Arabidopsis thaliana: one gene and its partner. The protein of the gene in region 1 interacts with the protein of each later gene in a pairwise test. Each region holds a gene or a part of one and is shown on either strand. Other genes may lie near its edges.

Region 1 (6,793 bases):
CATGACACAAGAAGCAAAAGGGTATCAGATATGCAAAACTACCATGTACCTACCTAGCTCTTATCAATTCCTTATCATTCTCTAAAGCGATTCTAGTACATACCACAGGAGAGTAAACACCGAGAAGAATATACTCCCAGATGCGTCCTCCAACAAAAGGAGCGAAAAACGCATAGTATGCTACACTCAATAAGCAGAACACCGTAATCGCAACCACCTGTTTCATGACCAAACGAAACAAATGAACTAAAACCCAAATGTTAGAAATTGGAGAAAATCAGAGAAAGGTTGAAATAAAAGACCTGAAATTTGTGAGCAGGAAGTTGCCAACCATGTTTCCTCACCATTTTTGCTTCCTCCCAAAGCTTGAACACACTCACGAATCACAAAATCTAAACGAAACCCTAACGCCGCCGCAAATCGTAAAAAGAGACAATTTTGCTTGCAGTTTTGCGAAACCCAGAAGGATATAAGAGAAACCAAGCTGAGAAAATATCTTCTTGGTCTTCGTATCTCTCCCTATCTAACTAACTATGGTAGGTCAGTCATAGTCAAGTGACGAAAGAGGAAAGTAAACTCCTGTAATATATTAAATTGAAAATAAAAGAAAAATAACGAATGTGAAATTAGAGATGACCTAAGCGAATTCAAAGTTAGCAAATTTAGAGTCGAATAGCGAAGAAAAAGCTTACTGTGTAGCCATGGCGGAGACCAAAGTAACTGGAGAAGGAAGAAGAGAGAGAGAAATGGAAGAAGGAATAAAAGAGAGAATTTTTAGAAGAAAGAAAAAAGACAAAATAGAAAAGCGTTGACAGGCTAAAAGAGCGAGACGGACAAATGAAAGTGGTTACTGGTTACTATTAGTACCAACGCTGGATTTTTAGCTTACGTGTCTATTTCACCTCTTTGATATTTTCTTTTTTTCCGTAGCAAATTTTAATTATTTTTAAATTATATAACCATTATTAATGATAATATGGTAGCTTAAAGTATTAATTAAATAATATAATTTTTATATAATATTAAAAAGTTCTCAGTAATACTTAAATATATATATATTAGAAAGTTATTTAATGTCTAAATTTCAGATTTTTAGAAGAATTTAGCCAAATTAAATCAAATATTAAAAGATTTTGCTGTTTAAAAAGGAATTAAATCAAAAAATATTAAATGAATTAAAAACAATTATCTTCCACTCCACATAAAAAAAAAGATATGTGAGTAGAAAAGAAAAAAAATATTAAAAGATAAGATGCAAACCCTGCATTTGTAACTCCATAACTAAATCTAAAAGCAAGTGACTCAGAGCACAACTCTCGTACAATTTGCCCTACAGTTTTATTTATATTTGGTGGCAAATGTCAGCTCTGTTTTGATGTGAAAGCCATCAACATCATGTAATTGATTAGCATATTACATATAGAATATGAGATACCCACATATATATAGAAAAAATGACGGTAAAGATTAAAAAAAAAAGTATACTTGATTTGTCATAATAAGAATAAGCATGTATCTCATATGTACAAAAATAGATTTAATGTTATTTATTTTAATATTCTTGTATTTTTTGTTTTATTTGAACTTATAATAAAAAAAAAACTGTAGATATTAATAGTTATGTAAAAATCATAAAAATAGATGTAAAAATCATATTAAAAGTTATGATAAATTTAGTTTACTACATAACTCTTTTGAAAAATGTGGAAAAATTATAGTAAACTGTATGAAAAGAAGATTATCATACAGTTAAAATTAAAATCTTTTAGAACATGTGTAGTGGTGGTTTCTAACCAAAGTTTTTAATTTACTAAAGTAATAATAATAAAAAAAATATTTAATTTGAAGAGTTTTTTAAAATAGTTTTTTCAAATCTTTTAAATTAAAAACTTTCTCATATTTTCTTAGAAATTGTTTTAATTAAAAAAATATTGTTTATTATTTTATTATTATTAATGTAGGCGAGAGATTTTGGTAAAAAATCACAATGCTGATGCTTTTAAAATAATCAATTTTTCTAAGAATACATAAATCAGCAATGCTTCTCACACGCCAAACGTAAATATAGACGCGATTATGAAAAAAAATCGCGTCGAAAACAAACGTCATTATGTCATTACACGTGTTACCAATCAAAAAGCCTTTATGTTTAATTAGTAAAGGCTAGTAAGAGATTTACAACAAATGAAAAAAATAAAAATAAAAACATAATCCAAGATCCCTAAAAATTCCCAAAAAGAACCCTAGATTTTCTCCTCTCACGCTCCTTGGTTCCTCACTCGCTTTTGCTTCCCCACTCGCCTGCTTCGTGTTCTTCTTTGCTTTGCTCTTTTCACGTCAGAATTTTGCCTTCCCTCCCTTTGTCTCTCTCTGGGTGGCCGAGAAAATACAGTAAAAAGCCCTCACCAATCCAAAAGTTTGACATTTCCTGAATTTTGTAGTCTCTTCATTTGAATTCTCAGGTTTTCTCTTAAGATACATTAAAGTCTCTGTCTTTTATGCTGATACTAATGAAAGTTCAGTTCTTTCACTGAAATTTTAGAACCAGAACTTTTCTACTACTAGAAGTATGTTGTCTCTGACTCTCTTAGTTTGAGTTCTCAGGTCTCCTTCTCTTATTTGTGTGAAATTTTACTCTTTTTTGGCTTTAGAAACAGAACTTTTCTACTATTAGAAGTTATGTTGTTGAAAGTTCTTCACTTTCATTTGATTCCATTGATTTCATATTGCTTTGTGTGTTTCAAGTTTGATGTTTTTAGGTAGAAGATGTCGCGCTGGTTCTTATGAAGTTTGGTTGTGACATTTTTCAGGTGCTAAGGTGGATTATCTAGTAGAAAGATTTCAGTTTCCAATTTCATGGAAGCCCATAGTGGGGTAGTTGCTTTTGAGTGTGTTAGTGAATCCATATGTGGCTAAGGTTAGGATGGATTTGCAAGAGAATCTGGTTAGTGATGCAGGGGATGACCATATGGTTGACATTGTAGTTGAACCGCATAGTAACAGAGATATAGGAATTGTTGATGAGTTCAATATAGGTGGAGATGTTGGATTTAGTGGTGATCTGGATCTTGAGCCACGAAATGGTATAGACTTTGATACCCATGAGGCAGCGTATATCTTTTATCAGGAATATGCAAAATCTATGGGTTTTACTACGTCGATTAAAAACAGTAGACGTTCCAAGAAAACTAAAGACTTCATTGATGCTAAGTTTGCTTGTTCCAGATATGGTGTGACTCCTGAGTCTGAGAGTAGTGGTAGTAGTAGTCGAAGGTCAACTGTGAAAAAAACAGATTGCAAGGCTAGTATGCATGTGAAGAGAAGACCAGATGGGAAATGGATCATTCATGAGTTTGTAAAGGATCACAATCACGAACTTTTACCTGCCCTTGCTTATCATTTCCGGATTCAGAGGAATGTCAAGTTAGCTGAGAAGAATAATATCGACATTCTGCATGCGGTTAGTGAACGGACCAAAAAAATGTATGTTGAAATGTCGAGACAATCTGGCGGATATAAGAATATCGGGTCTCTTCTTCAGACCGATGTCAGCAGTCAGGTTGATAAGGGTAGGTATCTAGCTTTGGAAGAAGGAGATTCTCAAGTACTGCTTGAGTACTTCAAGCGTATCAAGAAAGAAAACCCTAAATTCTTTTATGCTATAGACCTGAACGAGGACCAACGTTTAAGAAATCTGTTTTGGGCTGATGCCAAGAGCAGAGATGACTATTTGAGTTTCAATGATGTTGTATCCTTTGATACTACTTATGTCAAGTTTAACGATAAGTTGCCACTAGCTTTATTTATTGGGGTGAACCATCACTCCCAACCTATGTTACTAGGCTGTGCATTGGTTGCTGATGAGTCTATGGAGACTTTTGTGTGGCTGATAAAAACATGGCTACGAGCAATGGGTGGTCGAGCTCCTAAAGTTATACTCACTGACCAAGATAAATTCTTGATGTCTGCTGTTTCAGAGCTCCTACCAAACACTCGTCATTGCTTTGCGTTATGGCATGTTTTAGAAAAGATTCCTGAATATTTCTCACATGTGATGAAACGGCACGAGAATTTCTTACTGAAATTCAACAAATGCATTTTCAGATCTTGGACAGATGATGAGTTTGATATGAGGTGGTGGAAAATGGTCAGCCAGTTTGGACTTGAGAATGATGAATGGCTGCTATGGTTGCATGAACATCGCCAAAAGTGGGTGCCCACATTTATGAGCGATGTGTTTCTGGCAGGCATGTCGACATCTCAACGTTCAGAAAGTGTGAACTCTTTCTTCGATAAGTACATCCATAAGAAAATCACGCTGAAAGAGTTCTTGAGGCAATACGGTGTGATTCTGCAGAATAGGTACGAAGAGGAATCTGTTGCAGATTTCGATACTTGCCACAAGCAACCTGCATTGAAGTCCCCCTCGCCCTGGGAGAAGCAAATGGCAACAACTTACACCCACACAATATTTAAGAAATTTCAAGTCGAGGTCTTGGGGGTTGTCGCTTGCCATCCTAGAAAGGAAAAAGAAGATGAAAATATGGCGACGTTTAGAGTTCAAGACTGTGAAAAAGACGATGACTTTCTTGTAACGTGGAGCAAAACTAAGTCAGAACTTTGCTGCTTCTGTCGTATGTTTGAATACAAAGGGTTTCTTTGTCGGCATGCTTTGATGATTCTGCAGATGTGTGGTTTCGCCAGCATCCCGCCTCAGTATATATTGAAAAGGTGGACAAAAGATGCTAAGAGTGGAGTATTAGCTGGTGAAGGAGCAGACCAGATACAGACCCGAGTTCAGCGCTATAACGATTTGTGTAGTCGAGCCACTGAATTGAGTGAGGAAGGTTGTGTGTCAGAAGAAAACTACAACATCGCATTGCGCACACTAGTCGAGACCCTGAAAAATTGTGTTGATATGAATAATGCTAGAAACAACATCACTGAGTCTAATAGCCAGCTTAATAATGGTACTCACGAAGAAGAAAACCAGGTAATGGCTGGGGTAAAAGCAACAAAAAAGAAGACTGTATATAGGAAAAGAAAGGTATGCTTTTACTGAAGCTTCTCGCCAATCTAAACCTACGTACATTTTCTTAGCTTCAAAGGTTAAAAAGAAGATACTCAAATTGATCTTATGCAGGGACAACAAGAGGCTAGCCAAATGCTTGAATCTCAACAGAGCTTGCAACCAATGGTTTGTGCTTTGATTTGATCTTCTCTAATTAGTTTGATCATTGTAACTGCACATTGCTTTATGAGATTAAGAGTAGGATGTCTTGGATATATGGCCTTATAGTTTTAACATTTTGTGCAGGAAACTATAAGTTCAGAGGCGATGGACATGAATGGTTACTATGGTCCTCAACAGAACGTTCAAGGACTGGTATGCTATGTTAGTTGATTAATACAAACCTGGTTAAGCCATTCGACATCTATTATAAACCCTAATACTAAACCTGTTTAAACTGTGGATATAGTTAAATTTAATGGAGCCACCTCATGAAGGCTACTATGTAGATCAACGAACCATCCAAGGCCTGGTAGGTTACATATAGTTTAAATGCTTGAATCTCCCAAATCTGTGCTAGAGTATAAGTCAACGACATGAATTTTGGTTCTTTTGACTCTTCAGGGACAACTGAATTCGATAGCACCGGCGCAGGATAGCTTCTTCACGAATCAGCAAGCCATGTCTGGGATGGTGGTACATTATAAAATCCTTCAAACTGATTTTAAAAACTGTGTTATGAATGATCGTGTTGTTAACATCTTTTGTTTATTGTCCGGTCCAGGGTCAAATCGATTTCAGACCTCCTCCCAATTTCACTTACACTTTACAGGTCTCAGCTGCCTGGATAAAGTCTTTACTTTAGTATCATTTTGTACTCGAACCACACGTGTTGATATCGTTAAATCTTTTCGTTATTCCAGGAAGAGCATTTGAGTTCTGCCCAATTACCTGGTAGTTCATCAAGGCAGCTATAGTAGCAACACGTTTTGATTACTTTGGAGAGAAGTTTTGTCTCAGGAAACATTTGCAAGAAGCTGTTCCAAACATGAGAAAAACACAAGATCTTTCATGGAGCTGAGTTGCAATGACAAGATGTAATCTTTTCTTAAATTGGTTTCTGTATATTATGGGATTGCCTTATGATGTATTAATGTGGGATGAAATATTGTGTTATCTGATTGAATGTCTTGAGATTTAATAGATGCACTTGTAACAACATCTTTATCTAAACACATAGAAATCTATCCTCTGTGTATTAGTCAAACAAGTAATTTTGAGATCACATTAAATCAAAATTGTTAAAACAGGTTTCAACTTATTTAGTAGAAACAAAAAGTTATTTTTAGATTAAATGTGGTTAATTTGGTTAAATACACATTCCCTGGTCGTTGTCGTATGTAGGTGTGTCCCTTTTGACAAAACAAACAAACAGAAAAGGTTTCTTTATTCAGACAACATCAAAACTGGGGAAGAACCAAAACTAATAGAGTTGGTCAAAAGAAACATTTGCAAAAAAAAAAAAAGAGAGGCAAAGATCTCGAGAGATTTCAATTTTCAATGGAGAAAGTGAATCAAACCTTCTTCTTATCTCATGGATCTCCAACTTTGAGCATAGATGATTCCTTGGAAGCGAGACAATTCTTCAAATCATGGACTCAAAAAGTTCTTCCTCAAAAACCCAAATCGATTTTAGTCATCTCTGCTCATTGGGACACCAAATTCCCATCTGTCAACACTGTTCTTCGCAATAACACGATCCACGATTTCTCTGGCTTCCCT
Region 2 (4,758 bases), 8.6 Mb from region 1:
ATTTTTCACTCACAAATTTTAGTCGTCTTTCTCCATTTAATCAACTCTTGATATGTTTCTAAAACGGAAATCTTTTGTAATGCTTAATTAGGACCTTAGATGTTTGAATATATATTTTAAATAATTATCCTAAATGATGTTTTAATATAAAGAGTAAACCAAAATATGTTGGTTTGTATTACTTAGATTAGCTTGTAATCTTTTTATTGAAATGAAATCTTCACATTAAAACCCCAAAAAAAACATGTTGATGTATTGTATACACTTGGTTTGTTTCTGAAATATTTCTATAGAGAAATGCAGTTAATGCGTAAAGCAAATGGGCGCATTATATATGTAATGCGTATGGACCATTTAAAGGAGAAAAAGCAAACCTTTGTTTCGTCGGAGAAAAAAAAAGGTTAGAAACGGCGCACACAAAAATGTATTGTGGTCCAAATAAATAAAATAATACAAGACCCATGTGACATCATGGAGACATATGTTTATAAATTAAAAATAGACCCCTCGCAAAGACACAAACCACAACAAACTCTAACCATTATATAATCATATAATCACAATAATGAGCAGTAGCTTTCTGCCTCGCATCAAAATCAACACCCCATTCATTTTTAATTAGAAAAATATAGTATTGAGCTAATCCAAGCATTATTCTATCACGTTATTTAGTCGATCAAAAATAATCCCCACAATTAATATATATTGAATGTGTTATACAATAAGTGTTTGATAATCAGACAATTAATTAACTTCTCACAAAAATTTATATATTTGTGTGAAACTTAAATTTAAAAATCCATCGCACTGAGCAAAATAAAATCAGAAACTAAAAATTTGTCATTTAAGATAAATTGAATTAAGGAAAATATTTTTTTAATAATTGAAACTCCGGTGGAAATCAGGAGGAGCGACATCTCCATGCTGAAACTCCGACGAGTTCTGTCCTTTGCCAACATAGGAGAAGTGAGTTATGTTTCTTCTCGACGTGAAAGCCTCTCACTGGCGTCCGTTGGACTAAACACTCGGCTTGAGACTCCGTGAAGTTACTGTGCGTCACCGGTGAGAAACCCATCTGTAGAAACATCGCTTGCCACGTCATCATCGGCCTTTCTATCGGACGGCTACGATCCAACACCAGCTTCTCTATCTCCGGCTGTATAAGAAACCTCTCGATCTTCTGCATTGCGTCGAGGTTGGCGTTGACGGCGTCGAGGGATTCGAAGAGAGCGGTGTGTGAGTGCAGCGAGTGGGCGAGCTGTTGAGAGAAGGGCAGATCCGTCCTCTCGCATCCTCTGTCGGAGCAGACGATGATCGTCGGAGATAGATGCTTCACGAAACGGAGGACCAAAGGGAGGTGCGAGAAGGACGCGGCGGAGATGTTAACGGCGACAGCTTCTTTCTCCGACGAGTTAGGCCACGAGATGGAGCCGAGGAGGTCTAAGCTCAAAACTTGGATGTCAAGGGAGATGTTGATCTCAGAGGCGAAGTGCTTGAGGTTGTCTTGAGTGAAGCCAAGTTCGAGCTGGTCGTGGTTCGCCGGAGAAGCGAAAACGGTGATCTTGAGGGAGAGAGGAGCGGCGTTGTCGCGGAGAACAAGCTCTTGCATGAGGGAAGCCCATTGGCCACCGTAGCCGATATCGAAGTCGATGATGTGGAGACGGTGGAAGCCATGGAAGGACTCTAAGAGGGCTTGGTTGGAGGTAAAGTTGGCGAACTGAAGAACGGGAGAGATCTCTGAGAAGGATTTGTAAGCAGCGATCTTGAAGATGAGGGAATAAGGGTTTAGGGTTTGGGAGACGTTGTGAAGGAGATTATTGAGAGCTTCTTTGAAGTAAAAAGCTGCTCTTTCTAATGGCTTCCCGACGGGAGAAGAGAGCTGTTGATTGAGCCGCGCCAATATCCCCTGAGCTAGACACGTGTCGCTCTCTATGACCTCTGCTGCCTTAACCAGCTGCTCTGTTATCCCCACGGGACCAGGGTTGAGCCGCTTTGCCGGCGGAGGTGTATGGTGGTGGTGGCCGTAGAAGATAGCCGCAGGATTCTGTGTGTAGTGGGTTTGACTTTGGTTGATCAGAAGACCGGAAACATGTGACGGCGGAACAGAGTGGTGGTCTAAACCGAAGCCGGTGTCGACGACTCCGAAACCGGGTGATGAGTAGTCAGAGTCGTGGAAGGTGGGAGATGTTTGGAGAATGCTGTTGAGTTCAAGAGAGGGATCTGTGGAATCTCCCATGATGAGTCCGAGAATGCTCTGTTCGTGGTCATGAGGAACTTGCTCCTCCCAATCACCCAACCCAATGGCTCCGCATTGCTCATCGGTGGTGGCGTCGCCGCCGCCTCCGACGGCGCTGTTTCCGCCGTGAGAGGAAGACACCGTGGAGGAAGAGGTTGGGCTTATGAGGGAGTCCAGAACAGAGGTAGGCTCCGCCGCGGGAACTTCTTCCTCTTCTTCTTCGCCGCCTCTTGCTTTGCGGTGGCTCAAAAGCGGAGACGACGGTGGTTGGGGGAAGGAAGACGAGAAAGAAGAGAAACAAGAAATCCCCTTCCCTTGAAACTCTTCAAAGGGTAAGGGCATTGCAGACGATAAAAAATAGTGTATTTGTCTTCTTGAAGCTCTTCTTCTTCTTCTTCTTCTTCGTTGTTGTGATGTGGTGTGGTGAGGTATATTGGATGCGTGCAAGATATTAAAGTGGCAAAGTGGGCTTCCTCCTTTCTTTTTCTCTCTTATTTCCGTTTCCTATCATTTTGCCTTTGTCATTAACTTAGCTGATTAAACAATTCATCAGCTTCTCTTACACAACATTTTGTTAATCTTTGCTTTCTAATCTTAACTATGTCTTCTATTACAACCCCACTCTTACATCACGCGCGTGGCTTGCAAACTCCTTTCAGTGACATGAACATGATGGTAAACAAAAATACTAAATGTTATGATATATTTTTAAATATTGTATTTGTCTTCTTGAATTACTAGAAACTATTAAAAAAAAAAAACATTTTCCCCATATTTTTGATGTTGTACTGTATATTTAGATGTCATAATACTTGCCCAAAAAAAAAAAAGGATGTCATAATATATTGGGAATGTTTTTGTTTTCTTATAATTTATTTTCATGATTAAAACTTTGTGGCTTGCAAACTATATTTGGGATATTGTTTTGTTTTGTTTTATCTCAAAGGTGCTGTCGTTATTTCCTTTTGTGTGATCTTTGTCCCCAATAGTTTGTTTTAGGGTTTGGACAAGCTTTTGGATCATCTTTATCAAATTAACCACTCAAATCACCCAATCCATTGTACGAGCTAAACCACATATTGCAGTGCTTATATTAATTTGTGTTTCCTTTTTTTTTTTTTTTTTGCTACGGACATAATCTAAATTTATAAATCTAAACAAAGTGGAAACAAAAACTATGTATATATTGGAGTTACATCAAAAATATCTGTTTTGTTTTTCTTGTTTTAACTTAACGAGATACGAATGATCGTCATTATCTGAAACATTCATGTACTACTTATAACAAAGAAGGAGTTATATATATATTTACGTGTATATAAAAACATACTTTCTTTGGTACATCTTTTCGTTTGAAGGAAAAAAGTGATTGAAGATCTGTGAATGATGTTTCTTCTGTGACAAGTTAAATGCACGAGAGATTGAGAAAGAACGAGTGGTAGTCCTTTATTGAGCAGACAATGGAAGTCACCAATCACCATATATATACATATATAAATATATCTACCAATGGAAAACCCTATAATAAATAAATGAATAAAGCAATCAGAAAAAACAACAAGAAAGAGAGGTGGGTAATTGATGAAGACAGATTAAAATCGGACCAATTTTGCAATGAATGGCGACAGTTTCATTATCATGTATTCATGATAATGAAAAAGCATTTACTTTTCTATGCAAACCAATTCATTAGTATAAACAATATCAAAGAAAAAAAAAAAAGTATAAACAATATCAGATTCTGAATCTATCTTTTATATGCGAATTATGACCGCACAAAAAAACACAGAGTTCAGTTTCTTGTATAGTAATTTTTAGTCCCATATTATAATACTTGTTAAGTACCATAAATATTTGATGATTATTGATAGTTAACTTACTTTATATAACAACAAAAAGTTAAAATGTTCATTTTTAAGATTTAATTAGTTTATATGTTCCCATGTGATTTGCTAACAACTACTTCTCACACTTTTCTTTCTTATACAAAATTATTATAAATCTTGAAATGATCGCGAAACTGTATTAATATTATTTCTTATTGACATACATAATACACCAACACATTTTCAAGTTTCATGATATATTAATATAATATTTGGTATATTGGAATACTAAATATATGTGTGTGTTAACTTCGTGAGGGTGAAGTAAGTTACGTGGTGAAAACATGTTCTTTTCTCTCGTCTCAAGGCACCCTTCATCACAAGCAACACACCCAACCCCACTCAATCGGATAGTTCGTATGATGAACAGAATCGTGCTTTGCCATAATTAGAGGAAGAAACAAGTCAGCTAAATATATTAATCTTGTCAAACAATAATTTATATTGAAGGATAACGTGTTAGAGTTTGTATGCATGTAACCATATATAAATGATTGCGTCGTTCATTTTGTATTAGATTTTAGGATGATGATTAGTTAGATTAGACAAAAATTGATCAATTATTATTAGGAGATCACATGGGACTGATAAGGATAAAGAAAAATAGAGAAGATTTCTTCATCTCATTAGAGCCAA

Evidence for each region. The genes of interacting proteins can lie anywhere in the genome.
Region 2: the proteins of FAR1 (region 1) and HAM3 interact in a two-hybrid assay, tested with the Arabidopsis thaliana proteins (one large-scale study listed by BioGRID).

The regions. Positions count from the first base shown.
Region 1 is NC_003075.7:8,611,883-8,618,675, forward strand, and holds FAR1 (FRS (FAR1 Related Sequences) transcription factor family), read left to right. Parts: upstream 1-2,177; 5' UTR 2,178-2,391; exon of another isoform or gene 2,392-2,810; 5' UTR 2,811-2,923; coding exon 2,924-5,047; intron 5,048-5,143; coding exon 5,144-5,197; intron 5,198-5,317; coding exon 5,318-5,386; intron 5,387-5,480; coding exon 5,481-5,543; intron 5,544-5,635; coding exon 5,636-5,707; intron 5,708-5,795; coding exon 5,796-5,843; intron 5,844-5,934; coding exon 5,935-5,988; 3' UTR 5,989-6,288; downstream 6,289-6,793. Other genes in the region: AT4G15080 (DHHC-type zinc finger family protein), read right to left, coding at 104-217, 303-347; catalytic LigB subunit of aromatic ring-opening dioxygenase family, read left to right, coding at 6,572-6,793. UniProt on the Arabidopsis thaliana protein: Transcription activator that recognizes and binds to the DNA consensus sequence 5'-CACGCGC-3'. Activates the expression of FHY1 and FHL involved in light responses. Positive regulator of chlorophyll biosynthesis via the activation of HEMB1 gene expression.
Region 2 is NC_003075.7:56,528-61,285, forward strand, and holds HAM3 (GRAS family transcription factor), read right to left. Parts: upstream 2,969-4,758; 5' UTR 2,579-2,968; coding exon 902-2,578; 3' UTR 613-901; downstream 1-612. UniProt on the Arabidopsis thaliana protein: Probable transcription factor involved in plant development.